4 linked regions of the Drosophila melanogaster genome follow. The protein of the gene in region 4 interacts with the protein of the main gene of each other region in a pairwise test. Each region holds a gene or a part of one and is shown on either strand. Other genes may lie near its edges.

What was found.
Region 1: the proteins of CG6149 (region 4) and CG4313 interact in a two-hybrid assay, tested with the Drosophila melanogaster proteins (one large-scale study listed by BioGRID).
Region 2: the proteins of CG6149 (region 4) and CG10444 interact in a two-hybrid assay, tested with the Drosophila melanogaster proteins (one large-scale study listed by BioGRID).
Region 3: the proteins of CG6149 (region 4) and Pmi interact in a two-hybrid assay, tested with the Drosophila melanogaster proteins (one large-scale study listed by BioGRID).

The regions. Positions count from the first base shown.
Region 1 is NC_004354.4:2,049,288-2,056,909, reverse strand, and holds CG4313 (uncharacterized protein), read right to left. Parts: upstream 4,227-7,622; 5' UTR 4,165-4,226; coding exon 3,605-4,164; intron 3,094-3,604; coding exon 2,470-3,093; intron 2,407-2,469; coding exon 1,965-2,406; 3' UTR 1,496-1,964; downstream 1-1,495. Other genes in the region: Sik2 (Salt-inducible kinase 2), read left to right, coding at 1-790, 885-992.
Region 2 is NT_033778.4:20,270,303-20,277,941, reverse strand, and holds CG10444 (uncharacterized protein), read left to right. Parts: upstream 1-3,442; 5' UTR 3,443-3,703; coding exon 3,704-4,685; intron 4,686-4,742; coding exon 4,743-5,524; 3' UTR 5,525-6,289; downstream 6,290-7,639. Other genes in the region: CG9143 (uncharacterized protein), read left to right, coding at 1-545, 604-723, 781-1,233, 1,292-1,475, 1,538-1,796; CG11788 (uncharacterized protein), read right to left, coding at 1,857-1,956, 2,015-3,154, 3,214-3,251; CG8908 (uncharacterized protein), read right to left, coding at 7,157-7,337.
Region 3 is NT_037436.4:5,776,975-5,786,125, forward strand, and holds Pmi (Pmi), read left to right. Parts: upstream 1-3,076; 5' UTR 3,077-3,136; coding exon 3,137-3,159; exon of another isoform or gene 3,160-3,409; coding exon 3,410-3,558; intron 3,559-3,613; exon of another isoform or gene 3,614-3,615; coding exon 3,616-3,800; exon of another isoform or gene 3,801-3,862; coding exon 3,863-4,023; coding exon of another isoform or gene 4,024-4,027; exon of another isoform or gene 4,028-4,576; coding exon 4,577-4,607; 3' UTR 4,608-4,717; coding exon of another isoform or gene 4,718-4,748; exon of another isoform or gene 4,749-4,856; coding exon of another isoform or gene 4,857-5,334; intron 5,335-5,650; exon of another isoform or gene 5,651-5,696; coding exon of another isoform or gene 5,697-5,875; intron 5,876-5,942; coding exon of another isoform or gene 5,943-6,269; 3' UTR 6,270-6,506; coding exon of another isoform or gene 6,507-7,481; 3' UTR 7,482-7,711; downstream 7,712-9,151. Other genes in the region: vito (viriato), read right to left, coding at 1-170, 230-291; Myt1, read right to left, coding at 790-925, 984-1,348, 1,405-1,550, 1,613-2,567; PGRP-LD (peptidoglycan recognition protein LD), read left to right, coding at 4,857-5,334, 5,697-5,875, 5,943-6,269; Cralbp (cellular retinaldehyde binding protein), read right to left, coding at 6,507-7,481. UniProt on the Drosophila melanogaster protein: Plays a role in mitochondrial morphogenesis.
Region 4 is NT_037436.4:11,432,742-11,438,197, reverse strand, and holds CG6149 (uncharacterized protein), read left to right. Parts: upstream 1-2,721; 5' UTR 2,722-2,736; coding exon 2,737-3,441; 3' UTR 3,442-3,503; downstream 3,504-5,456.

The sequences.
Region 1 (7,622 bases), on a different chromosome or scaffold from region 4:
CCAAGCGTACGGCTTGGAAGAACTCTGTCAATTTCCAAATGGTCAATTCTATGCTCTGCCGGGCAAGCATCATCCGCTGCTGACTTTGCCCCATCATCATGCGCATCCTGCGCAGCATCACCATGGCCATCATTCGCTGTTCCATTCAGGCCACCAAGCCACACCTCTGCTCCTGGAAGCCGCTGCTGGTGGGGATATGTATGGTCATGGATGCTATGCTCCGCCACCGCCGCCACCAGGGCTATACACGCACCATCAGTTGGGCGTGGGTATGGCCGTGCCCATGTCCCCGATGCAAAAGCCACCGCTGCAGCAGCAGCTACTGCAGCACCGCCTGCTTCAGCAGAAGCGTCAGTTGTTCCAGAAGCAGTACGCACTGGAGGCGCAGCTAGCCGGTCGACATCACCACCATCAGCAGCACAGCCATCACCACCATCACCACTTTGGCCACAGCCTGGGTCCGCCACCGCCGCCGGCTCCGGCTCCGGAACATCACCTGGCCGACGAGTTGTACGAGTTGGCCTTGCTTGATCGGCCCAGGAGCGGAACTCCTAGGCTTCAGCACTCCATGACCATGCCCGGAGCTCATGCCTTCAGTCAGATGAACCTCAAGACTTCCTACATCAGCCAATCGGACCAGGTGCCTGGTGCGGCGCCTAATGGAGCTGGTTCCGGAGGATCAGCTGCTGGGGTATCATGCTCAGCTCCACCGTCCACGGCGCCGGGTACGCCCACGGTCAAGTGCAAGCCTACCACGCCCCACGGTCACAGCCTGGACTCCGACTATCATGTAAGTAAGCTAGATAACGCATATTAAGATGATTTCTCAGGCATCCCAAGTTCGTATATAAACCTTATCCGTTTTCTCCTTGTGTCCTCCGCAGACATCGACGCCGGTGCTCAGCCTTTTCACGCCCAATTGGCAGTCGCTGGTAAAGCCGCTCAGCGAGAGCCCCATCCTGGAGATATCGGAGCACCTTGAGTCAGTCTGAGGCCGTGTGTGATGTTATTCGGTGGAGGGGTTGGGGCAATTCGAATGGGAGTAGATTTGTAAGTGGAAGTCGGTGGGAAAGGAAAAGGGGTAGGACTGGACATCGAACTATAATGGGGGCTGGACCGGGACCGGGGCCACCTTTTTATTAAGCTCGCAATCGCAATTATGAATTATTTGATCCATATACGATATACACCCATACATACATATAAATAGCCTATATAGATATGAATGCGGGTCGGAATCGGAATCGGAGTTACATCGATTCACGTTTATTGGAACCGATAGAATCATTACCGAACCGGGCGAAGCAGTAATATTGAATGATTTAGTTGTGTTACTAGTCTTAAGTAGTCCAAGTTTCGTACGCATATACGCAGACATATACAATATGTATATTGATAATAATAGCGTTAAGCTATAGCTCTACTTATGATTACACTATACACTATTGTATTGCCCCCACGACAGTGGACGAGAACAACGTAACTACATATATCAATTATTCGAAGCATTTATTGGGGGCATAGAAAGGGCGTATCCATATAAGGATATATCTATTATGTATTGGTACAATAATTAGCGACAAGCAAAGAAAAAAAAAACAAAATTTAAACAAACATCGATTGTTCTTAAACATGGAATTCAAATGTAAACCAGATATTAAAGTCATTTGGTATAAAATGCAATATACTTCTGGAGTTCCTACATTATATAGATATAGATATAGATATATATGGGTGATCTGTGTTTTCGTGTGTGCGTGGAAGGGACGACCGGCCGGATCATGTGACTAGAAATCTTTTTTGGAGGCACTATAATCACCAGGGGATCAAGGAATTTTTTCTTACCGCAGATCATTCAACATGACATTTGGGTACTTCTCCCATCGTATTACTACCATATGGCACACATATATCATATCCCGCTAGGACGGAGGACGATGAAGGTGTTAAGGCATCTGTCGGAGTCACGTCGTGGCCTTCACCTGCCGATTGGACTCCAGGTGCTTTCGCTTTGCATTGGCCTGATTCCGCTGCTTCTGGGTATCTGGAGAGCCATGGCAGCGCAGCAAGTTCCAGTAAGCTCTTCGGTATTCGGAGCTCATCAACACGTAGATCAGCGGGTTGATGCAGGTGGTCAAGTAGATAAGTAGATAGCCAGCAATGTTGAACCAGTGCACCTCGGTGGCGCTTTTCCATATTTTGGCCACCGTGATGGGCAAATAACAAATTACAAACCACACGAAGATTACCAGTATCATCTTAAGCAATCTCCGGTCCTTGGCACTCATCCTTCCCGGGTAAATAGAGGATGCATTTGAGGTATTGCCCATGGAGGCGTAGTGGGATTTCCGCGGGCTAAACCGTGTGAAGGAGGTGGTGCGCAGGGATGTAGTGATAGGGTTCTTTCTGGAATGGATTTACGCATTAAGGTTGAGTGAAATGGCAAAGAAGCCTTCAACAGCTACTCACCCATGGGTTTTGCCCATCTCTAGTTGCGTTTGACTGCGTCCCAGGCTGACCTTTTCCTGATCCCGATCCCTTTCCTTCTCCCGCTCCTTGAGCACCACATTGGCATCAACAGGCGGTGGCTGCTGGTCCTGATCCCTCCTCCGTATGCTGTACGAGATCGGCAGACTGTCCGTCGAAGCATTGTCATCGATATACGCTAAGTTTTCCTCCACCACAAAGGGTCGTCCTGCGATCGGTTCGTTCGCCTCGCCGCTGGACGTGGTCACCTTCTCCGGCTTCTTTGGTGTGGCCATGGCTTGAATCTGATGCTGCGGCGCGGAGCTGGGAGTCACATCGCTGACATTGGTCTTGCCAGCGGTTCCCGCGCGAATGGCCGCCTTTCGCACCAGCAGGAAGATTCGGGCATAACAGATCACGATGCAGATGCACGGCACCATGAAGGCGGCGATGAAGAGGAACTCCTTGGGGGATCTACCATACCGATCATGCATGATGGAACACGAGCCGATGCTGACGTCCAAGCCAAAGATACCCCATACGCCCCGCCAGGTGGGTATCATTATGGAAAACGTGGTGATCCATGTGCCGGCTACCATCAAAGCCAAATATCGTCGCTGGTAAATTCTGGAAGAACGGATTTGAACCAGTGGGAATTGTATTTTGTACCATGTCTAATTTGATAATAATATATGCTCATTGTATTCAAATATATTATTTTAAGATATCCGTAGCTCACGAAAATAAAAACTAGCTAGTTATTTATTTCTCCAGAAATATTGTAGTTCATATTTTATAAGATATTAATTTCCGTTCAGTTTAATTGTTTATTACGAAAATATTGAGATCGCTGAACCGACCTTTTCTATAGCATTTGCCTCTAGCAAGTAATGTTCTCTTTTTTAGTTAATTAAAAAACATCTACGAGAAGCCATACATTTTCCTTTTTATAAACAAGTTCAAAAGTTTATAAGTTCAGAAACACAATAACATATGTGTGGGTTTTTTTCTCAGATTAAGTGGTAGGTTACCATGCGTATCATAATAAACAGATAAGCACCAAGAGGAAGAGTTGGGCACTCTGAATACCCTTCAAGATTTAGGCAGGACATGCCGATATGGGCAGGCCCATTCTCACCTTGGATACTGCCTGGGATGGGCGATAATGATGTACCGGTTGATGGTGATCAGCGACACGGAGAGCAGGGACACCGCCAGCAAGCCGTAGCGCAGCATCGGAAACAACCTGCACAGCAGATCACTATGGGTCCACGCCCGCTCCTTGAAAGTGGACGCGGCCAATGGCAGATTAAAGCAGCCAAAGAGTAGATCCGAGCAGGACAAATTGATTATGAATATGGCCGTGGAGTTGCGGGTTTGACGACCTCGCGACAGGGCCACTATGGTCAGTAAATTTCCGGGAACGCCCACAATGATGAACACTATGCAGGCCACCCAGGCGATGGTCAGCAGCTCGTCCGAATAGCCCTCGAAGAGCACCTGGCGCCTGTCGTCTACATTGAGATTAAGATTCATATTCAGATTGAGGTCCACGTCCACGTCCAGGTCCAGGCTGTCGGAAAGGGGTACCGGCAACACCGCGTCCTGATCCGCCATGTGATCAGTAGCATAGGGATCCGAAAGAGGCAGCGCTATCGAGATCGGATGCGGAGTTGGTCCGGATTTTGGTGGGAACATCGCGCGGCACTTTGTGTTCGGCAAAAGACGCGTTGCTCGTTCCTGCGCCGAATTTGTACTAAAACTGAATTCTCCGCATCCATACACCGACATGGTTCCCACCCAAAAAGTGGGCCCGAAGGCAGTCGCCGCCAGCCAAGCGTACAAAATATTGAGAAAAAAAAAAAAAACAGCAGGCGAACTAGAAAAACTTTCAAAAAGGAAAACAAAAGAATCTCAGAGCAGCAACAGCAGCAACAACACACATTTTTATTGTATACAACAATTGACTTCATCATCGGGTAATTTGGTAATTTGCGTGTGGAATGGGCGCTTTGTTTACATTGTTCCTATTCGGTGTTGTTTCTTAACCGCCCTTCCCGCCCCATTCCGCCCCAATCCACTCGACTCTTTCGCTCTTTCGTCGATATTCTGACGGGGTCATGTTGCTGTTGTTGCCGTTTTTCAAAGTTTCAGATACTAGACCAGGGATACCATTGCCCAAAATGGTTCGACGTTTTAGCTACATACTTGAGCATTCCGACAGCCAGAACATACATACTTGCATTAGACTAGTCTTTGCATCAGTCTGGTGGAATATAAGTCATGAGCAGCATGGGGAAAGTTATCTGCATTGCTAACACAATTCAAGACTTATCACTTGCAATGAAGTAAGAAGTTCCCCTCCTTAATTGATACCTTGACCGATACGTCTTGGATGCTTAAAAAATTCGGTGTGCCAGAGGTTACATGAATATATTGGGAATACAATGAATAAGCTCCTACAGATGAATCGAGTCTATTCGTAGCCCTGATTTCGGGCCATACGCACCTCTCCGGCATTTTTGAAATGAAAAACTTTTCGGTTCCTGGGTCGTGTGCATGTGTGTGTGTGTTTGTGTGTGTGGTTGCATAGTTTCCTCTGGCAATTTTCTGGATAATAAATGGGCGGCATCCATTCGAAGCGAGGAACTGAAAAAAAAAGCAAAACTTTTGCGAGAGGGACTCATTCGAATAAATATGCCTATAGATCGAATTTGTGCGTAGAATGAATACTCCAGTCATGGGCGATTAATCCTGAATCATAACTCGAGACTATGCGTTTTTCACGCTCTCATAACCCGTTTCGAATAATGAGTCAAACCCCGGAAGCCTGGTGTCACACGACGTCAGCGTACATATGTAGTCTTAATTAATCAAGCCAATATGCCGGGGGAAACCTCTCTACTTTTCCGAGGGTCAGAGTGCGGGTCGTCTGTTGGGTCGAATTGAGTATTGTTTGCCTTTTGAAAAGAAAAACAGGCGGTTCTAGGGAAAACTCTTTGGCAACGGCACGAATACGAATACGTTGTTTGTTTTCATGCAGGCCAATAGTCCGGGAATTGCAGCCGACTACCCAAGAAAATAACATTCAGTTCTTGAGGAAATTAATATAATTATAGCGCCATATCGCATTCACTTAAATGACGAGAAATTTTTAAGTTTAAGATCCTAGGAACTGGATGGAATACAATACGTGATAACGAAACATATGGCTCATCCTCGTACTTGCGAAAACATGCGTTTTCATAAAACAATACAAGGCTTTATCGAGCTTAATCTAAACGTATAATCCCATCATTTTTTAAGAAATTAAAAGTGCACTATCCTTGCGCCCACCACTGTACTTGGAAATGCCTGCGGGATGGGCATAAAAGTGGAAACTAAGACCTCCCCCCCCCCCCCACTCATCAACCATTCTTGATATGATTGTGAATACGATTCGAACGCCAATCGACGCCCGCTTCGGATTCGAATTCGGATCCAGAGATCCAGACTAATGTAAACTTCTCCGGCGTACTTACATATACGCCTATACGCATACGCACACGCACGGGCCCATGTTTAGATAGCCATAAACTATCGTGTTCTTCACACAATCCGCAGCAAACAACAAACAATGAGAGTGCGCACAAATCCCTACGTCTTCAGTTCGATATCTGCACCGAAAACATTTATTACCAGGTCACAGTTCCTAATGCGATATGTGCGGTAGCTCCAACCATCAGTTCCTTACCATGCGACAGACCGTTTTTCCCAGTGCAGCCATGTTGGATCGCCTCGATCGATGTCGAATGTCCAATTGTGTAAACATTAGAATGCAGACACATGAAGCCTTATCATTGCACATTTGCTTCAGTGGAGAGAGGAAGCAGAAGCGGCGTATCTGCGATATGCATCTGATCGATCGGCAACCATTGAGCGGCCTCCACCCACACCCGCCCCTCGGTCGGTCACCAGATGGCCGATGGCTGATCGCCGATCTCCGCCTCTCTGTCTGTCCCTGTCTGTCTTCTGCGCTGTCTCCGGCCGGCGGGCGAGAGTGCGGGAGTGCGAGCGAGCAAGAGAGCAGAAGAGAGCGCCAAGTCGTGGGGGCAGTAACAGGGGCGCGCCAAATGAGGGGAAACCTGACTAACATGGAGCGCAACTGACGTGCGTTCAGACGGAATATCTAACGAACGGAGTATACCCTCCCTCAATCAGTTCCCTACGCCACTGGCCGGCGGCGGAGAGTCATTTAGACACTAGTTGAGAGTGAGAGTAAAGAGTGAGAGGGGGCTGCCGATTGTCAACTGGCAATATCGCGACTCGCTCTACGCTGCCCGCACTCGACGAACTGCACTCGATCCGGCAGTTATAGACGATCCAATACGATCCGGCACGAGAACGCAGGCGCTACGCAATTTGTCCGTTACATTCAACCAGTACGGATAATAAACAACGAAAAGTAACTACGATTTCAGTTCGACTTGAGTGACATTCGATACGATACCGTTGAAGCAGTCGCGAGCGTGTGCCTATTTGTTAGATATTTAATTCGACTGTTCCTTTTTGTTTTTGTGATTATGTCAAGTGCTGAGTTAGGGCAACCTGTAACCCTTTTATTCTCTACCTGATCTCGCGATTCAAAAGCATTAGTCATGAAAGCTGGTGCGACTTTTGAATCACCGACAGCAGCAAGCAATAACAAAAACAAAAAGCAATGCTCCAGTGGCGTCCCCAGAGCAACAATAAAAAACACAGCGATTCATGAATAACCCCAGCAAATGCCGAATGCCGTAAACTGTTTACATTGCTAACAGCATTACTCACTCACTCTTTCACCTCGCTCAACCTGAGCGAAAAAGAGGAAGTGGTGGAGTAAGAGTTGGAGAGGAGTGGAGTGGAGATCGGAGTTGGAGAGAGTGGAGAGAGGAGCACGACAGGGGAGCAAAGAAGAGAAGATCGCAACCGCACTAGTTTCCATTACGTGAGCAGAAAGCAAATAAACAAGCGATTTCGATTTCCCCATACCCAGTTCCCAAGTCCCGCCACTGTCCATCCTCTCCTCCTGACCACTGATAACGCGTCCGTCAGTGTGGTGCGGCACACGACTTAGAGGGAAGAGGAGAGGTTGAGGAGAGTAGAGGAGACCTAGACACGGAGAAAGCAATCAGGCC
Region 2 (7,639 bases), on a different chromosome or scaffold from region 4:
CAAGGTGAAGGGACAGCAGCCGGAGCCAGCGGCAGATGAGCACGAGCTGACGCCCCCGCCGGAGGAGCTGGATCATGTTTCCGGTGCCAGTGATGAGGAGAGCGATGCGGAGGAGCAGGCCCAGCGTGTACAGACTCCTCTGTACGGTCTGGTTCTCACACCCACCAGGGAGTTGGCCGTGCAGGTCAAGAATCACCTGGTGGCTGCTGCAAAGTATACAGGCATTCGAGTGGCAGCCATCTTCGGAGGTCTAGCTGTTGCGAAACAGGAACGAGTACTTCGCCAGTGCCCGGACATCGTGGTGGCCACACCTGGTCGCCTCTGGGAACTTTACGCCCAGGGCAATCGACATTTGGGCAAGATCGAGGATGTCAGTTTCCTGGTCATCGACGAAACGGATCGCATGGTGGAGAAGGGACACTTCGAAGAGCTGCGCAGTCTACTCAAGGTTCTCAATTCGGACGAGCAGAAGAAGCATCAGCGCCAAAATTTTGTTTACTCGGCCACTCTGACGTTGGTCCACGATCTTCCCGATCACATGCAGAGTAAGTTACTCGGATCTTTTGAGATTCCATTAAGTAACCAAAACTCTTTCACTTTCAGAGCGAAATGTAGGTAAGCGGCCCAAATTTGTGAAACAGACGGTGGATCAGAAAATTGAAAGTCTTATTGAGGAGTTGGGCATTTCCCAGCCGAAGATTGTGGATATAACCAGTTCGCAGCGTAAGTATTCATAGTTAATCATGAACTAAACAGCAGATTTATAAAGTCCACTTGCAGAAACCGCACAAACATTGACCGAGAGCCGTCTGCTGTGTCCCATCGATCACAAGGACTATCATCTTTACTACTTTATTCAGCGCCATCCAGGACGCACCATTGTTTTTTGCAATTCCATCGATTGCGTAAAACGACTGGCCACGCTCTTCGGCCTGCTGGACTGCAATCCCCTGCCCCTGCATGCCAACATGATCCAGAAGCAGCGTCTGAAGAACCTGGAGCGATTCCGTGACAGCCCGACAGGTTTGCTGATAGCCACTGACGTGGCTGCTCGTGGCCTGGACATACCGAATGTGGAGCATGTGATTCACTACCAAGTGCCGCGCACTAGTGAGAACTACGTACACCGATCGGGACGCACTGCACGAGCGAATAAGCATGGCATAACAGTCATGTTTATGGAGCCGGGCGAGGTCAAGAGCTATGTGAAGCTGTACAAAACATTGGAGAGAAGTGAGTGAGAGACTTCTAACAGGAAGACAGACGTTCTACATATTCGTTTACTTTTTAGCTGAGGATCTGCCGCTTTTCCCCATTTTGGAGCGTTTTATGGGAGCTGTTCGCGAGCGTGTGAATCTGGCGCGAGATCTGGACAAGGAGGAGCTGAAGCTGAAGCGCGTGCAGAGTGAGCGCGGCTGGATGAAGAAGCACGCTGAGGAAATGGACATGATCATTGATGGCTACAATGACGAATCGTAAGTTTTTTTTAACAAGATCTCATTAAAATGAAGTCTATGACTAACTCTTACTTTTGCAGTGGCAGTGACCAGGATGAGGATCCATTTGTGATTGAGCGACGTCGCAATCGGCTGCGCGTGGAGACAGTTAGAGCGCAGCTCAATGCTCTCCTGGCCCAACCCATCTTCCCCAGAGGCTTCAGCTTCAAGTATCCCAACAGCGAGGCGGCCCAATTAGCCACGAGTCATACTCAAAGTGCCGTGGAGACCATGAAGGCGGCCATAGAGGACCAGAAGCAGGCCAAAAAAGATCGCAACAAGCGAAAACGGAATGCCTAATCTAACTTAAAGCTGTTTTATTGAATAAGAGATACAAAGCTATAGCCTTGGATGTTTCCATCAATGCTTTGAAACAAAGTATCGCACACCTCCATCGGTCAATGAGCGAGCGTGCTTGGCCAATAGTGTGGAAACGGACAAGTTTGGGGTGGTAAAGCACCTAGTTATAAAACCGAAAATCAAAAAAACAATCTAGATATGTGTTCATCATTACTTACTCTATGTACGGTTCCATTTCCTCCATCGTCCATCTCTTTTTAGTCTTAAATAGCGCCCGCATGCGATCGCTTATATTGGTGGGCAGTAACTCCTCTGCCAGGGAGCGTATGCAAGGCTGCGCTCCCTCCTTGTCGCAAATGCCCAGACCTCGTAGGTACTTTAAGTCGCAGGACATGCCCTCGGGCAGTACCTCCTGCCAGGTGCGCATGAACTCCTCGTTGCGAAAGCGCAAACCCGGCTGAAGAATGTTCTGTGCCACAATGCGGGAGACCAAGGACTCCTGGTACTCAAACTTGCCCGGGCAACGTTCACTGGGAATGGTATAGATATCAAACAGCCCAGCCACAACATCCTCTGGAGCTATGCCCTTCAGTGCATTGATGGTCTCCTCCCGTTCCACTTCGTCCAAGGCCCAGGAGTTTTCGCTTATCAAACCCAGCATCATGTTAATAATGCGATACTCGTATTCGTACTCCATCACGCGCATTCGCCCGTCCAGTTCTATGGCTCGATATTGGTTCAATCCCTCCATGAACTGACCGCGGCTGCACTGCACCGTGTCCAGGAGCTGCGAAAAGGTAAAGAGTAGCTTCTGCTCCACGCAGAACTCGTTCTCCGGCCCCGAATATCGAGTCAGCTGCAGTAGTTCACCCAGCTTGCGAAAGCGCGGCTTTATCTCGCGGCACTCGAAGTACTCGTGGAACACCTTGAGCACCGGCCGCTGCTCCAGAGTTCGCGGCACTTCCAGTTCATCCTCCGTGCTGTCATTGAGGCTGCGCTCCAGGGAGGCGTTGGCGTTGCCAGTGCGCGGACTCTTCAGCGGCGAGGTGCTGGTGGCGGCGGCAAACTTGAGGTCCGGTACCAGCAAAAGGCTATTGGATATTTCCGCGCCCTTCACGTCGTACGTTCGCTCATCGGTGCACAGCACCAGCTTCTCGTTCTGGCCACCCTTGAAATATAGCGTCTGGCCGTCGCGGATTTGTCCAAGCATGTGCCCATCGAGCTCCAGAAGGCGCAGATTGTCCGAATCCACGTCCGCCGAGGGAAAGTACAGAGCCTGGGTGAGTTGGGTCAACTGGCGCTCGTCCAGTTTCGCATGCTTCACAATGGCCTTCACATCCTCCGGCGTGCGAACGTAGCTATGGCGGGTGGTTGGGTAACATTATAACTCCTACGCAGGCATACCAAAGGCACTCACAGCTGGGCAGCAGACTCATCAACCTCCATGGATTCCATGTTCGCTGCATGTAAACAAAACAAAAAATTAACCAAAACAATGAGCGGGAAAAAGTAGTGGGACCAAAGCACAGCAATGTTGCTTTCGTTGAGGGTATTCAATGGCCTTTCAATATGTAAGCTTAATGTGCTTGGAAAACATTACAGCATTAATCCGCACACCCTGCAAGGGCACACTCACCGCTCAGCTGATCAGTTATTTAACGGTCGTAGCCTCGGCAAGAACGTTTCTTTTTTGAGCGGAGATTTCGCGAGCACGCGTCTTGTTTTCCGCCGTTCGCCGTGCACTTGGACGCGCACTTTAGAAAGCGTTGACTGCGCCAAAGGTCATTGCTGGGCAAGAGAAGCGTCCAATCGCCGCTGGTGGTGACGCTTGTGGAAAAATCAATTCGGACCAGTGACGGACGTCGAACTTCCAGTTCTCTGACAAGCGGAATCCAGTCAACAACAACATGCCCGTGGGAACGTTTGACGCCTGGGATGCGGCCGTGCTGATCACCATCCTGGTCATATCGGCTCTGATTGGCATCTACTACCGGTATACAGGCGGCAAGCAAAAGACCACACAGGAGTATCTGATGGCGGACCAGAGCATGACCACTTTTCCGGTCTCCTTCAGCCTGATGGCAAGCTTCATGTCCGCCATCTCACTGATGGGCGTCTCCAACGAGTCCTACGAATTTGGTACCATCTTCTGTGTGATCAACATTGCCTACGTGCTGAGTACGCCCATTGCCGCGTACTTCTTCCTTCCTGTTTTCTACAGGATGCGGACGACCAGTGTGTACGAGTATCTGGAGCGGCGCTTTGGCCAGGCCACCCGGCTGTCCGCCTCCCTGGCCTTCACCGTGCAAATGGTGCTTTACATGGGCATTGCACTCTATGCACCAGCGCTCGCTTTAGAAGCTGTAACCGGCATTCATCGGTCAATGGCCATCGTGGTCATTGGACTGGTGTGCACCTTCTATTCGACACTTGGCGGCCTGAAGGCGGTGCTCATCACGGATGTGTTTCAGTCCTTCCTCATGTTTGCCGCCATCTACGCCGTGATTGCCGTGTCGGCCATTAAAGCCGGCGGATTCGCGGCCATCTGGGATGTGGCTGTGGAGCGAGGACGCGTGAACTTCATTGAGTTTTCATTGGATCCCACCGTGAGGCATACTTGGTGGTCTCTGATCATTGGCGGCATGGTCACTTACCTCTCCTTGTATGGCGTTAATCAAACGCAAGTACAGCGACTCCTGAGTGTCCGCAATTTGAAGAGCGCTCAGTCGGCGCTTTGGTGGAACCTGCCCATCCTAGGAATGCTTAGTTTTAGCACCATTTTCAGTGGACTGTCCATATTCTACTATTATCGAGATTGTGACCCTTTGCTAAAGGGACGCATCGACAAGCGGGATCAGATCATGCCCCTTTTCGCACTGGAGACTATGGGTGAGTTGGAAAGACATCCAATAAGAATTAGCATTATTTGATTTCTTTTTCCGGCAGGTCAATATCCTGGACTGTGTGGTCTGTTCGTGTCCGGAATATTCTCCGCCAGTCTTTCCACGATTTCGTCGGCAGTTACCTCGCTGTCGGCTGTAACACTGGAGGATTACCTGAAGCCCTTGTACAAGGCGATATTTAAACGGACGCTAATTGACTCCAAGTCCACGATGCCCACCAAGATTGTGGCGTGCATTTTTGGCCTGCTTTGCATCGGTCTAGCTTTTGTCGCTGGCTCCATGGGCGGAGTTCTTCAGGCATCGCTTACCATTTTCGGTGTGGTAGGCGGTCCGCTGCTGGCCATTTTCACACTGGGAGTCTGCACTACACGCAGCAACCAAAGAGGCGTGCTGCTTGGCTTCCTCGTTTCCCTGATAGTTTCCTTCTGGATGGGATTCGGCGGACCCAAACCAAAGCCAGTTACCTTGGAGTTTAGCACAGCGGGCTGTGAGAATGCCACCGCGGTAATGGCGCGTGCCATCGAGCTCAGCTCAAAGAGCAGCGGAGTGGTCATCGAACCCGACTACTTCTGGTTATATCGAATTTCTTACTTGTGGCTGAGCGTCATCGGCTTTCTTATTGCCGTGGTCGTCGGCTATTTCAGCAGCATTGTGCTGGCTCACTGTGGAAAGGCAGAAAACGCGGAAATCTATTTGGACAAGTCTCGGAAGCAGCTGGACTACGATCTCTTCGCACCCATGCTGTCCCGCCGCTGGCGACGCCATAAAGAAGAACAAGACCAAACTGCCCAGGACGAAACGCTCACCAAACTAACTGAGCAGTAGTTCCGCCCGGCTTAGATTTAGTGTAGAATATATACATACATATAAAAGAATTTCCAGAAGGCGTCGGCTATTTGGTTAGTCGTGTTACGGATGTCGTACCTAAAAGTGCATAACTATGTGACCTTTTTGTATACCTGTGTGAACGAAACTGGCATACAGAGCGACCAAAACAGAGTCTTCCATATACACGTAAACAACGATAATTAGTAGTTATTAGTCGTGTTGCAAATGTTCACAAGCGCATCATTAAGAGGCCTCTTAAGAATAGTCAAATGTTTTTTACAAGAACGTATCAAAAGTAGGAGTCTACCTCAATGAACTTTTACAGAGGGACAATAATCAATTTGGAGCCTAAAAGCGAGTTGGCCGACTACTTTCCCATGTTGAGCATTGGCAGCCACAATGCCCCACATAAATTATTGATTTAGTAGTACATCTAATTTTAATGGGATATTTATATTCATACCTCTTAGTTACTCGATATTTGCATACATAGATAACATAATAACATTACAATAATACACTACAGTGAGCACCGCCTATAAATAGTTACTACATGGCTCTTAAAGCATTACATTGCGCCACAGTGTGAATTCTGTTTACTTATATACCTCTACTATATGTACACAAATATACTATAGACTAATTATATACTCGTGTCGTGTCGCAATCAACCATTGAACAATAACTCGGAGCAGTGAAAGTTATGTGTATTTGTAAAAGCCAAACTGCTGATCATTAAAGAAATCTGTTCTACAAAATGTGATTGCCTTTTTTTTTATTTGCTGCGGAAACATGATACTTGCAATCCCCAGCTGCAGCTTGGATTGAAATAATTACTTCGGTTGGCTCATGGGTGTTTTTCAGAAATCACGATTTGTCGAATACTTCCTGCGATAAGCAAATTCGTACGCTATCAGCTACCAAGGTTATGCGAGGCTCTCCCAACATTGCTCACTCGATGAGGAATCTATTTCGGAACGAATGCCATAACTTTCAAGCGTTTACCTTTGCCAATTGACTATTGCGCCATGCGGGAACAAAGTCTAATTGCGGGTCGGAGACAGCAAATTGCTTAAAATTGGAGAAGCCATGGGTCAGCATGTGAATATGGGTTCGCCTGTAAACAAATGCCAATTGATAGATTTGTCGAAACATCATTAATAAACCCAGACCACGCTCGTCTTGCTCATGGAAAGTTTTCAGAACGGATTGGGAGTTCAAAGTACGAATAGACTCGCATGACACACATTTTTGGCTAATGTTCTGGCGAAAGAGGAGACCAAAAGCGGTGGATAACATAGTTACGCCATAACCGATTTTTGTTTACTCTAACTTAGTGTGCGATTTACTATTTTTAACAATATTTATGTTAACCAACAAGAATCTTAAGGCATTTATTTGTATTCATTAGCAACGTCATAAAATATAATAACCATACAGATTTACATATAAGAGTATCAATTTGGCGACTGATGATTGTTTAGCCTTCATTTTTGCAACGCCAACAGATGATTTGGGCGATTTGTTAGCATTCGGAAGCAAAGCTTTCACAGATAGTTTCGCTGATACGATAAGGGTTTCGTTTGGATAGCATTCATTGAAGTGATTCATTGGGGAAGATTTATGGTTCTATTGATTCTGCTTCCTCACAAACTTCATGAACACATCCTGGAAAGTTGTATGGCTGACCGAGTAGTACAATATCTGCATCTCATCCTTCAAGTTCTCCATGTACTCGAAGATCGCGGACCACTTAATCTGCCCTCTGGGAATGCAGAAGGTGATCATGCCACGGTAGGAGTACTTCTCGCTGGGGGGAACAATTAATTATAATTAATTAAATATATACAACTCTTAGCTCTTTAAATAAATTACAATAACTATTATGCTCGATTGAGATGTAAGGTCATAATAACTTTCCTTTAATCAATCATGACTTTCTTATACACAACGTAAACAAGATTATTTTCATTTCTGTGCCAGTATGCGCGATTTGCCCAGACTATTTATATATGAGTATATTATTTGTAAATAAACCATATTCACATCCAAAGTGAGCAGCAAATGTTTATGTAGATATCTGTGTGCGTGCACTAGTGTATTGAAAATTTC
Region 3 (9,151 bases), 5.7 Mb from region 4:
CCTCCTCGGTGAGCTCGCGCAGCGGTTCGAAGGATTTCTTCAGGTGGTTAAAGCCATCCTTTACCTCCTGCCGTATGCGCTTGCGCTCGTTCTTAAGGTTTCTTTCCAGATCCGCCTTTGCACGCGATCGTCGCTCATTCTTTCTTTTCCGGAAGCCACTGAGAAACTCTCTGCGGGATTGGGATGTGGGCATTAGTATCCTCCGGGGATTCTGTGTCTCCTTACTTACATGCGTTTCTTGTTGTCGAATACAACCTCTGTTTTTTTCTTAGGAGCCTTTTTCCTGGTCATTTTCAAAAATTGTGCTACTCGTTTTTGTTTACGTTTTCAACATGTGCGAGCGGCCAGTGTTACCAGATGGGCAAAATACTTTTCCCCGAAACGAAAGGTACGTTAGAATTCAAAAATGTTTTAAAAAAAATTTTTATAGTTATACGTTTCTTGGTTTTTACCTTTAATTTGTTGTTATCATATGTCATAGATGGCATTCAGTGCAGGTTTCAATTTCAATAAGTTTTTTATTTTTAAACTTTTCAAATCGCTTTTCGTATATATATCACATGATTATATGTTCAAGTTCAACAAGTTCTTCTAAAGAAGCATTAACATTACACAATCGTAAGACTATATCTAGGGAACTTCGTACAACACTACGGTCTAGAACTAATCAAAATACAATTAACGATATATTCTGTTGCCATATGTATCTGGTATTCGTTTCGTAACTGATATATATTGGGTTTATCATAAATTCATTCGGTTTACGTTGCTCGCTGGCACCGTACTCACTCACTCGTCGTCATATTCCAGGACGAAGAGCTTTTTGCGTCGGAACGATGAGGTGTCCAGGACCTTGGCGGAAGATAGGGCGGAACACGGACTCTCGAAATCGTGTACATGAACGTACCTGCCCATTGAATCAACACTGAAAGCGGATGGGTTATGTGCGCTAGTCCATGAGCTAATCGATTAAGGGTACTTACTTATTCTTTAGCAAATCCAGACGGGATTTGCCTTGGTTTGTGTTCAATGGCGTGGAATTTATTACGTTGGGGCTACCCTGATTGGAGAGGTCCAGCGGGTCCTCGCCGGAAAGGAAGTCGGAGGCATAGCAGTCACGATTGGCAATGGGTGTGGATCCTACCAGCTGGAACTCCACCTGAGGCACCAGAGGCACTCCCTTTGACGAAGGCGAGGAGGGCACTATGTTAATATTGGGCTGTGAGGCCGTTATGGGCTTGCATAGATGCAGGACCTCCAGGAAGTATAGAAGGTAACGAAAGGCGGCTGTTTTCCAATTGCACATTCTTCCCCAAACGGCGCGGCGAGATCGCCTAAAACTACGCGACTGCAAGTTGTCAAGGGTTAAGATTGATTCTCAAAGATGTGCTTGGGAATGCTTACCAGCATGCTGAAGTTCATCAGCGACTTGCGCTTCTTTTGCAGGTACTGCAGCTTGGGATGTGAGAGTAGCTGCTCGGCCGTCGGCCTCTGCGCAGGATCGGGCTTCATCATGGACTTAATTACCGACTGCAGCTCCAGTGATATTTCTGTGCGAAGAGAAAGGCTTTAGCAACCTGCCATTTAAGTAGGCAGCTAGTTCGCAACTCACTGTTTATGAACTCCTCGGGCAGAATGCCGTGCCTCAGTTCGTGCCACAGTGGGCCGTTGGAAGGAAGATCCATGTAGCATGCCAGCTCTAGCATGGCAATGCCCAGACTGAAGATGTCCGCAGCCTTGGAGAAGTGACCCTGCAGGATCTCTGGAGCCATATACCTCGAATCTCCCTCCGTGGCGTGATGGCTGTTGGCCCTGTCCACATCGATGACCAGTCCAAAGTCTGCCAGCTTGCACGTCTCGTCGTCCTCGCCGATCAGAACGTTGTCCAGTTTAATGTCCAGATGGATGAGATTCCGGTCGTGCAGCGACTTGAGACCCCGCAGCAGATCCAGCAGGATGTGCCAGATGCGCTCCTCCGGTATCCTTTGGCAGCGCAGCAAGTACTGCTCCAGACTTTCGCGGCACAGCTCCATTTGCATGTACAGTCGGTCGTACTGCTCCCAGGCGCGGATGAACCGGATGCAGTTCTCATGGCCGGAGAACTCCTCGTAGCGCCGCACCTCTTCCAGCCGCTCTGCGCGGTACTGTTCGCCGCGGAACAGTTGCTTGGAGATCTTGACGGCATATAACTGGCCGTCGGAGCGATCGCGCACCTGGAATACCTCGCCGAAGGATCCTTCGCCCAGTTTGGCCAGCCTTTCGAAGCACTGCTCGAAGTGTGACAGGGAGAGGGTGCTCAGCTCGGCCTGGACTGGTGACGAGGGCAGCGTACTGGAATCCGAACATCCGGCGTCCCGGAAGGAGATCGCGTGCGCGATCTGGGAACTGTTGGTGCTACAGGAGCCCAGCGATTGGCTTCGGTTCAGATTGTTGTTGTCCACGGCGACGTAGCCACGCGTCTTGTACTTGGGCGGCCGGAAGCGATTGCTGTTCTCCCCATTGCACTGTTTGTGTCTGTGTTTGTCGTCGTGCAATTCCGGGAGGGGCAGGCGATGATGCTTTTCCATTTTCAATTTTGGGTGTCTTTTCTTATGAGTGGGCGAGTGTGACCATATCGGACAGCCGGCGAAATCCTGGCTTCTTCGCTTGGGACAATAAGAGCCGGCTAATTCATTTAACACATGTATCTTATATTTTTGATCTTTATTGGGAGTATAATTATTGATTTCAATTAAGTTAAGCTCCTATAATCGTATACAGATTTTACATGATTTGCCTCTTAAATGCCTCAATTATCGTAAATAGAGATGGGAGAGTTGAGTAGTTGGAAGAACAATAGAAATACTGAAATATTTTTAAAAACTTTAATCTAATCTAATTGTCTTTATGAATATAGGTAAATAAGCAAATAAATTGCTAAATAGTGGAATTAAGCCTTTATATATAGGCCGCTCTTTAAAGGAGAATGGTATTTGCGAATACGATATAATTCAAAAGTGCCGCCCAACTGCGGTATTTTTTTGGAAGATTGCTATTTGCAGTATTATGCCCTTAGGTACCTGGTATATTTTAACGGTCCAGCTGCGGCCGCACTGAGTTTATGAACAACATAGAAAACAACAAATTTATTAGCAAAATGGTTAGCAGAAATATAGAAAGGTAAATACGGCGCCTAGTTACGTGAATGCAGTGGGATTACGCAACACATTCCACCTGGGTGCAGCCAAATCCCAGTTCCCAAGTGCACCTGCCCTGGTTATGCAATTTACTAGGCGGCTTCTTCATTTATCTCGTCTGCACAATGGCTTCTCTGCTTCGGTTGTTCTGAGCGCTTGATCTTGACCTTAACCTTGAGTTCCACATCAAGATAACCATGATTGATTCGTGTATTGTTGTTCTAATTGTGCAGCACGAGTAAGGTGCCCACTTTCCATGTCATCCGCGAGGTCTACGACAGCTCCAATGCCCATGAAAGATTCGAGGCTGAGCTGGACAAGGCGCTGGAAGCCAAGTTGGACTTCATCGTTATAGAGCCGCCTCGGCTGGGCGACGAAACTGGTAAGCACTTGGAAGTGCTTCCTTTTAAAGCACAGTATTAATTTCATATCTCCACAGGTCGTTGGATTTGGGTGGGCAATTGCCTGCACAAGACGGCGGTGGCCACTGGAGTGGTTTCCCTGGTGGCCAGCTTGCTGTGGCGGGATCGCCCCATCATTGCAGCTCCCGCTTGTGCACTCTCGATTTTTTGCACAGGACTGTACACGGTTTCCTGGAACTACGATCCATGTTGTCAATATCAGGTATGAAAGGAAAAGTTCTAGATATCCAAGATTGAGAAGCTCACTTTGGTTGTGTTTTTCAGGTGGAAAATAATGACACCGTGTTGGAGAAACTGCCACTGACAGATGTCTCCTCGCCTGTGATTTTGGGCTACTCGCCCAACTCAAAAACCAAATACTTGCACCGTAGCGTATCCTTGCTCTCGGCTGCCCTGTGCGCCTGGCAGATTTGGAGGTCCTACAAGTAAGGGATTTGCAGGAGCTCTGAAATGTCCAGGTGCTGGATTAGGCCTGTCCCCTGTCTCGCGGACGCGTAATACCTAATAAGTTAAGTTTAGGCACATAGGCGAATGCATTTCTTTTAGATTTTCGAACGATTTTAACACAATGTATTGTCTTTCGTGAAACTTTTAAATGTTCCCATAAACCAGTGTCCATGTCCAGTGTTCCCGTGGCTGCCACTTGCACTGGCTAGCATGCTCATAACTTATTACGGTCCCCAAGCCCAAGTTAGTCTTAAGGGAGGAGCAGCCTCTGCACTGTAAATTAAGCAAAGCCAACCTCTGTGTATAAAGCGAAACCCATTTATGATTGTTATTAGAGTCTAGTTGAAGATATCAGCAAACGAAAGTCAAGTAAACGCGATGCGAATGTTACTCCCGGCTTTAAAGTTACTCCATAGCTAAGAGAGTCTAAGAGTGAGTGCGATAAGAGACCCCTTCGAAATTCGTAGCTGATGATTTAATGGAAATGTTGTGCTTCATGCGGGCTGGTTCTCTCCCTTGTTCTCGTCTCAGTCGTTTTGTGCATTCTGCTGGCAGTGGTTGACAGCGGCGACTCCGATCGATCGAGTGGTGTGTTCCAGTGCGATCCGGTAAGGAGCTGACCCACTCACAGCACCACCTTGATGCCGAGGCTGCAGCCAGAGCGGTCTAGCCATGGACTCCAGCCACATAGCCGTGCGAGTGGGTAAGTCCGACGATAGATAAGCCCTTGTCTTGATAAGATATAGTTAAATGGGTGAGATATACGAATGCGTGCATCTCGGCTGGATATCCCAGCTCAGTTAGTGGCAAGATGCCGATCTTTGTGAGCGCCTACAGTCTGCGTGCCATCAGCAAATACTATGCCCACCAAGATCAGAGTGGCCTGGACAAACTGTGCCACTTGACTAATCATCTGGTCGCCTTTATCTTGGCTAAACTCCATAATTTGTTGTTTGCTCTATATTTCGCTACGATAGCACGTCGTAGTCCCTCGCCGGCCGCCGTCTCTCAGTCGTCGTACGGCAGCCTGGGTTCCAGCCAAGATATACACATTCGAGTGGACAAGGAAGGCGTTGCAAGCGAATCCACTCCCTTGCTGGCAGCTGCTCAGCGGTCCATCAAGACGTCCTCATCCCTCACAGCCTCAGTCTCAGCCTCCTCCACGACGCCTTCGAATTGCCGAAGGAACCCGACGCTCCACGAAGACTGCTTCAATTGGCGCTCGGTGGGACTGCTGGTCATGTGTGCATCCGCCTTGGCACTGGCCGCCTATTTGCTCTGGAGACAAAGTGAGTTTGCCCGCTGATGGTGGACGTGCACGAGTACGTGCTCAAATCGTTATTGTTACATATATGCATAATAAATAAATCTCAATTAGCTGTGAGTTATGATAAGCTGCTCATGTGCGTTTTGATGGGCAGGCGAAAGTATTCAAAGAAAAATCGATCTATACTCATAATATAATGTATCTGGCATTAAATTTGTATAGTAAAACATTTTAAAGCCATCCCTCATTTTTTTTTTTTGTTTAACTTAAGATTCGTTTTATTTTTCGTATGCATGCATATGACTCATTGTTAAATTTTTCTAAATTCGCCTTTATAGGTGGACAAAGCCACTTAATGACTGAATCACTTTGCACTGCTTGCAGCCCAAACGCCGGACTTTGGCTATCGACTCAGTATCGTGGGTCATGGCATATGGTCGGATATGGAACTTCAGGGTCGGGGAACTCTTTTCGATCCGATCGGTGTCGGCACAGTGATTTTTACCCACACTGGAAGCAATGAATGCCACGATGATTGCCCGGATGTATTGCATAAGCTGGAAGTGAGTTAATCGGACATAAGTATGTGTAGTACATTGTAATCAAAGCTAAATTCATTCATCTCCTTAGAGGTCGCATGTGGGGGAGCTGCCCTACAACTTTCTGGTCGCCGGTGATTGTCAGGTTTTCGAGGCACAAGGATGGCACTATCGGAGCCAGTATCCAAGGGATCTAAATGGAATAGACTCGTTGGTGATGGCCTTTGTGGGTAACTTCAGCGGCAGACCACCCATCGATTGCCAGTTGATGGCCGCCCAGGCTCTGATCCTTGAGTCTTTAAAGCGTCGGATTCTGCAGCCAATTTACCAACTCTTCGTGTTGGGCAGCTATACGGACGCACTGCAGCGGGAACTGAGGCACTGGCCGCACTACGCGAGCCACCAAACGTCCAAGTGAAGCAACAAAGAGATGATTCCAAATTATTCCTCTCGTTTATTGTACGCCAAACACAAACACAGTATACAAAGAAGCGCAGGATGAGTAAAGCGGTTGCCACCGATAAGCGAATCAGGGATCCCCAGGATCGGGCGCTGGCCAGGATCGGGGGACCGGCGAAGCGTTGCGCATTGGGTTAATTGATTGGATGTTGCCTAAGACTAAGGACTATAAACTTAAACTACAACTGGCGATCGGTTAGTCGAACTCCAGTTTCCGAAAGCTACCCTCGATGGACTCGATTTGTGAAACGAAGTTGGGTCCGCCGGTGGAGGCCTTTCCGGCATTGAAGCTGCTGCGCCGCTGGATGCCGCGATCGGAGCGCAGTATGCTCTTGTCCAGACCGAGAATCAGGTCGCGCTTGGTCGCCAGCTCCTGCTTCCACAGCTCGATCATCTCGCGCATGGGCACCTTGCCACCCATTTCCAGCGGCAGACAGCCCTGGTCCACGCTCTTCATCAGCTCCTTCTCGCTGCCGTAGATGATCAGGCGGTTCTTCATCTTGGAACTGACGCGGTTCTTCACGAAATCAATAAGCCACTTGAGTGTGGATGGTACATTGATCAGGTGGATCTCCTTGTGACGCATGGGCAGCGATTGCTCACCCCACTTGAAGATGCGGGCAAACTCCGTGGGATTCCAGTTGGTCACATGCGCCGTGGTCACGCCGGCGAAGTCGCCCACATGCGTTAGCCCAGTGATCTGTGTTTCCTGATCCTCCATCAAGCACTCGTAGGTGAGGAAGTGCGCCTTGGCCTGGTCGCAGCTTGTGTGGATCTTCGGATTTAGCCCCTTGGCATTGATGACCACCACGCGGCGACCGTGCTTGTCACGCTGTGGCACCGCAAATATGTATCCCTGATCGATGAGGTCGCCGAGACGCGGCTCCAGATAGTCCAGCTGGGTGCTCATGTGCGGGAACGTCCTCCTGATGTTCAGGTACTTGAGCAGCGTCTGCTCGGCCATCGGCACACTGAACTTCTTGGCGCGCAGGAAGCGCAGCAGGAAGGTATCGTCGCATCGCACATTCTGCAGATCCTCGTTCTTGGCCACCCAGTTGCGCAGCTGCTCCAGCGACTGCTCCCGCGTGCATCGATCCTCGCGCAGCTCCCGCTTGGCGATCTTCAGCAGCGCCTCTGGCAGGCCTGTCGTCTCCCCCTGATCCTGCACCATATTCTGCTTTCCTTCTTCGCTGGAAGATCTGCGATTCGTTGGTTCTGCTCTGTGGTCACGCGATTGGCATGGACTGCGGTCACTACAAAGAATGATAAGAAGTCCACGGATTAGTCGGGTTTTTTCTCAAATCCACATTGTATGATTAATATTTATACTATATATATGTATATGTTCTTAAAGAGATTGAATTTACTTACTTACATACTTGTAAAATATATAATTAAATTAAATAAGAACAACTTTTCATCTTGACTTACATAGAAAGCTTCAATATACTGAATCTACAACCAAGTTAGGCTCCAACTTCTTTATAAAAAGTGACGAATATCAAGTTTGAAGCCTTTGCTTTAATCAAAACAAAAAAACTCACTAGGCAAACGACGAAACTTATTGTTTAATAATTCTGCATATATGTATTTATCAATGAGATTTATTAGTGGTCTTCCCATTGAAATTGGTTCAAGGTCCCAGTGATCTCAAGGCGAACGCCACCGGATCACGGATCGTTGTAATTTGCAAATATTTGCTAATTAAAACTCGCGTATGAGACGCGTTTTTGTTAAAACAGAGCTGCGAAAGCGACGAAATAAAAAAAAAAACTTATAATTTATTCACTTCTTTGTTGTTAGGGGAACCATAAAGCGACCACCAAATGCCATTATGGTCGCATATAAAACATGTATGGATGGCAAAAAGACTGAAAAAGAAACCAGGCGAATTGGTTCAAGTTCAAAACTGTTTACTGAAAGCGGGTCAAAAAGAAATATATGTATGTATGTATGTCTGTATGTTCGTAATTAGCCAGTACCAGAAAGAGTTTCACTGTTTGAGCATCCGAGCATCATTCATTGCATAACAATAAAGAGCGTGGAAAGCAAAGAAAAGTATGTGGAAAGCGACCGAAACAATGCCACTGTTTGACTTTTGCAGATAAACAAAGTGCAAACATGGATTTATATCAATATTTGCACACAATTTGTGATCCGAGCTGCGGATGGATTTGATTGTTTTATGGCCCTTTGTCTGCGCACTTTGAATCCCCCAGCCAGATAATCGAGATCGAAATCCGTTTTCCCATGACTTCGACCCATTTGCATATGTACATACATATGTACATATATACATACATATCTCTTGGGTTCGAATGTTGCGAACTCTGTGCCATTTAATTGATTCGATTTTGGTCCAAAATTTGCATTCGATTTTGCTTATTTTTTGTTTAGCTTTTTTTTTCCTTTTGTCGGCTTTTCAATTTTCGTTTTGTCGGTTTTCCCCCCGCTCCCCCCGGAAATGCGATTTCAAAATGTCATTGGGCAATGCGCCCGTTGGATCCCGCTTGCCATCTCTTTCGTCCGCCAGCTACCCCTGTCTCTCTCTCTCTCACTCTCCCGCTCTTCCACAAGTTTCAACATGTTTATTAGGAGCTCGTTGTGGCTTGCGTGGCTTTTGTGTGGCCAACTGAACAGGCCAATAATGCAACAGGCGGTGCAATCGTGGCTTATTTGGTAATTGTTATTCCACAGGCTCCTTTATTCTCCGCGTTGATTGATTTTCGAAAAGGTTTCAGGCTAATCATGTTTGGTTTTTCAAAGCCAGCACACAATTGCAAATCCATTTTTGATCAAAAGGGTTAATTGGATTTTGATACATTTTGATACATTTTGATT
Region 4 (5,456 bases):
TGCAAAAAAGGATAAGTCGAATTCGCTAAAAAATAAAAAAAAGAAAACAGAAACAAGGAAAAAGGGCTTATGGCGGATTTATTTGGCAACACACGTGTCTATGTAGTCGGCAAATCCCACAGTCTGGAAAGCATTTGCCTTCCCGATCAAAACCCAACATCATACAACTGAAAAGCAAACACAGGTTCACGCAATTCAAATATTACCGTGAGCTCTCTTAAAAGATACAAATTTGCAAAATACACACACAACAAAAATCGTAGGTGGGGTTTTTATGAAACATGAGGAAAAGGTAAACGAAGAGGAAAATTCAAAAAACACATCAAGTTATCCAATAAAATGTATATTTTCCGATGATTGTATGAAAAGTATTATAATGAACATATGCACATGTTTGTTATATTTTAGTTATCTGCTGCAGACACTAAACGAGTGGAAGTAAGTTTTGTCACATCTTTCTTTCTTTTATTTGTAGTTTAAATATTAATCATCCTTTATATTCGACATATATGTACATTTTCTCAAGCATAAGTGTGTTTGGCCATACAAGTGGATCAGCCAAGTTGCTCCCACAACCGATGGCATAGCAGCCATCGTGTAATTTCCCAGCCTACTTTTCCGCCAAAACGTTTTGCGTCTAATGAGTTTTCTACTTGCGGTTTCGGGGAAAATTTGCGCAAAAATGCGACTCTTTACATTTAAGTGCCGAAGGGGAATGGAAAATGGGTGGTTGGGTTGTTATGGGGCATCGTGGTTTTTACCTTGGTGGTGAGAAGTGAACAACAGGACCGTATGCGCTGTAAATGTTTTAGTGGTTACCGCGTTTAAGTCATTAGAGAAAATTCTTGGCGACCAGAAAAGGGTTGGGTGAACTTTGCTTCCAGAATTTGAATCTCAAAGTCGCTGAGCTAAATGTACGTACATATATTATGCGGCAGTTTTTGGCTGGCTTTGGAAATTTCAATAGAGGCGGCAAATGCTTTGGATTTAGTGTTTACAAAGCTTGTGAACAGTGAAAAGATGATCCAACATTAATTATGTACGAAACTGAAACTGTGAGGGGAAACAAAATAAGGAACTTTAACAATTTCTTTAGGTATTCCCTTTGAAAGTTTCTAAGAACATGCTTGATAACCTTTAAAATCTAGAGTGGAATATGTGGAGTATGTATACGTCCTTGAAATATATATAGTGTGTTTTTTATACGAAAATAAAAATGTGTCTGTAAAATTAATTAACCAACTTAAGTTGATTTAAACATGGTTTTCTTATTCTTATATTAAACAAAGTGATAAAACTCAATAGATTATTTATAGTGTAATTACACTCAATACACCTACAAACTCAGAGTTCATACAAGTGCTAACTAAACAGTCTGCAACATTCGGTCCTAAAGGGATTGATACATTTATTTGACTGCCAAATATTGTACACCCGTTTTTATGTGCGAAAATATCGGCCAGAAATGTCTGCCTATATTTAAATAACTCTGTCGCAATGACCGTAGCGAAACGTGTCCGACAACGGTTTTAAAAAATTAACAACATTGCTCCAATTAGTCTGGGCAGTGCGGATCATAATTGTATGGGCACACATCGTTCTTATATAGTATATACATATGTATATTTCGCAGGCATTCGAATATCCAAATTTGCGTCACGGCACTGAGTTTTTGCGACTCCTTTCGTTTTTAAATCCATTTGGTTATCACCATGGACAGACGCTTAAATTGAATTTATAAATAGTAACAGACCACTATTTAACTAATAGACTCAAATTCGAACAGCAAAGACTTACTAATCAAACAGATGTCGACTTACTTAAGAGCTAGTTTTTATCGATAAGTGAGCTGGATTTATTAAAAAACTAAAAAAAACCCAGCTAAAAGTCCTTGAAATTTTTACTTTTATTTTGCACTGCTAATAAGATATAATTTTGGGCTTCCTAGTTGATTCAGTATTCCGAGATATAATGTATATTTATAATTATTTACTAATATTTGTTAAATATAACTAATAATTATCAGGTCACTGTTAAACAAATAGTTTTACCTATTCTCGCTTTCGCCGTCAGATGGCTGAATCGAATTTGGCAAAAAGGTAATTTAACTATTTACGAATGGTTTTCGTCGGACATATGGTGGTGATGGGCCTGACTAATTATCCACTGAGATCTGCACGGCCGACAAAGGAAAACAAACAAATATTTACGGAACACACATCCATTTGATTGCCTGCGGTTGGTGGACCCTTCCTCTTCATTTTCATCGCAACATCTGGTCCTGAAATTGAAGGACCTCTGACCAAACGAATCAGCTGTGTCCAAGGTCGCACCCCTGTAGTTTTAACGGCAAACTCCCCATTTCCATTTGAGTCAATACTCATCGCCTTTTACCTTTCGGTTCCGCAGTGGGTCAATAATTAAACTAACGATGAAATTGATACGTTGTATATCCAAACTCACATTTATCTATAAGTTTTAGATACGGTATTTATGTGTTTCCTTCAAATAGTTGTTTGAGTAGATTACAAAACTAGAAACATGGTTGAAATTGTTATTTATTTGTTTCAATGGAACCTATTTAAACTTTCTCACCCAACTTGGTAAAAATTAGAGCTTATTTTGCATCACTATTCTAGCGAATCCGTTTCGGTCATAGGCTATTTCCCTATGCCGGATCGATTTGCACCACATTAGCATAGCTCCATCGACAAATGCGTTAGTATCTATCCGGAAATGGAGCGACTTAATTTGTCGAACAGGGCTCGCCTGTTTTTCCACCTGTCGGCCACCGTTCACCTGGGCTATGCCATTTACTTTGACTGTCGGTATGCCCAGTTGCCACAAGTGGCGGTGACCCTGCGCCTGGAGCCACCGATTGGTGGCAAGTTTAAGTACATGACGTTTCTGTGCGGCCTTTTGCAGTTGGGGTACTATACACTGGCGCTGACCTTTGACCTCCTCCGATTGAGATCTCTAAGGAAGCTGCGAGACTACATCTTCGCCACCTTTGCCGTACCTCTGGCCCTTACGGTGGGTCTCACCTTTTGGACACTCTTCGCCATCGATCGGGAAGTGATATATCCGGTGCTTTTGGACCTGGTCTATCCCAATTGGCTGAACCACACCATGCACACCTTCGTCGTAATCTATGCCTTTGTGGAGTTGGGTATTACACGACATCAATATCCGAAACGCAGTCGAGGATTCACTGGACTGGGTGCCTTCATGTTGGGATATCTGGTGTGGATACATATCGTTTGGTTCCGGACCGACATCTGGGTGTATCCCTTTCTGGGCGGCATCGCCTGGCAGCTGAGAGTAATTTTCTTTGTCCTTATCATGGTCCTCGGATTCATTTACTATCTCTTCGGCGAGCGAGTTAATAACGTCTTGTGGCAGCGATCTACTGGTGTCCACAGATGGATCGATTCCCATTGAAATGCACATTTGATAGTTTAAGGATAGGAACATAAATAAAGTATATAGGATATGCTTCTTATTAAATTAAATATGACTACTGTGGAAGTCAAGCTATGCAACTATTCAAATCGTACAAAAGGCGCAGTAATAAAACTAATATACATTTTTGTAGAAACCATAAAATTCAATTCGAAAGTAATAAAACATGTTTCCGGTACAAAGATCAATTGCAATATAAAAGTCGAAATCATCTAATTTTTCAACACACATAACGGAACCGGAAATCGCTCTGAATATATTATTTTGGTTTTCAAATGCGTTTATCATCGAAAAACCAGCTGCTAAGAAGCGGAATCCATATGGATTCGAACATATTCTCATTCAACTATATGATAGTCACGTGCGGAAATTACAGCTGCCAGCTGATTCTGGAAAACCGATCCATTGTTTTACTCAATCCTTTCAGCGGGAGGTTCCGGTTTGGCTAGGATGTGGGCTCCGATTTCGAATATTTCAGGACACCACTTGTGCCAATATTTCGAAAGTGATCTCCGGACAGCCGAAACTCAGAGAAGAAAGGCACAGTTTTTCATTGTTTGCTGCAAAGGCAGATGGGTAACAGCCCATTTCTGTCAATCACTCATTTGTGTTTTCTTAAGGCGGTCTGGTTGTAAACATTTCTATTCTTCCGGTTGTATGCCATTATTAGCAAATAACTAAATTATTGCTTTCTTACTTGCTTGTTAAAACAGTGTTGCCTGAATCGTAAAAATGCATGAAATTAGACTTAAAAATGTTAATATAGATGTTACTTCAACAAAAATCAACTAGAAATTCACTTAATGAATAAGCGTTTGATTGGAACTTTGGTAATCTCTACCTAAAGCGCAGATCATTTTGATGATTCAATTCTAGACCAGCAACATATGAAAAGGTTATTTGGACTACGAATTTATTAAAAAGGTTATAAACCTTTATACAATAATATTAACTGAGTCCGAACAGAAGCCGCATTGTTGACAAGCCGTTAAATTTCGATTAGCACACGCGAACAGCTGTTGAATTGTTTGATCAATTTTCGGGAGTAGCACGTTTGAAGATCGTTGATGCATACAAACCAAGGTCAACGACAGCTAAAAAAAAAAATCCGCCGAAAATGATGGCCAAAATGGTGACTAATAGTATGTGTATATATTTTAACAAAATTCGGGAGCCAATTAAAAGCTTAATAGCTTTCCCCAAATCGCACTAGGAATACTGCGGCAAAAGGAGCTCAATTGCATTGGCCGAGAACTGGCTTTAATTGCTGACTCCGCTGGGCAATGGGCCATTAAAACTAATTGGTCTGATTGATTGTACTCCTCGTGGTGCACAGAGAAACATTGCGAGAAACAATGGTCTCCATTCATATCAGAAAAAATATCATTTTCGAAAGTTTTCAGAAGGGCATTGGCATTGTTTAATACGATTTTTAAAAATATTAGAAGCAGTATGTAAGTACTCAGATGGCTTTTCTTTCAGTGCGGACTTCTCACATCAGTCATCGCATTCGCGTGCATTGTTTGTTGCTCCTTCACAATTTAATTTAATTAATGAGCGTGTGTATCAATTGGAGTGCAATTGTTTAATTACTTGTATCGTGTCTTGTTTTAGACGACGATTCTTGAGGTTCCCATCGGTTTGGTGCATTTGCCTGAATCTAGCATCTGGATATATTTTCAGTAAACTATCTTTAAGATAAAACTATCTTTCAAGATCCGGATTGGCCTAAGGTCACTTGTAAAACGATGAAGGCTTAGACTATTTTTCAAGCATGATGAATAAACTTTTAAGAATTACTAAAATAGTCTGATTAGTTTGATGTAACGTGGTCAAAATCGATTTTGCGTTCACACATGAGTGAATTTTAAGTTACCTATATTCATTCAAAAGTAGCCATACAATAATTACAATAAAGTACAATTCCCCAAATTGGTCAATTGATCGCCGCACGTTGTAGCAGACGTCACGTAGGCCATATCATATTGCAATGG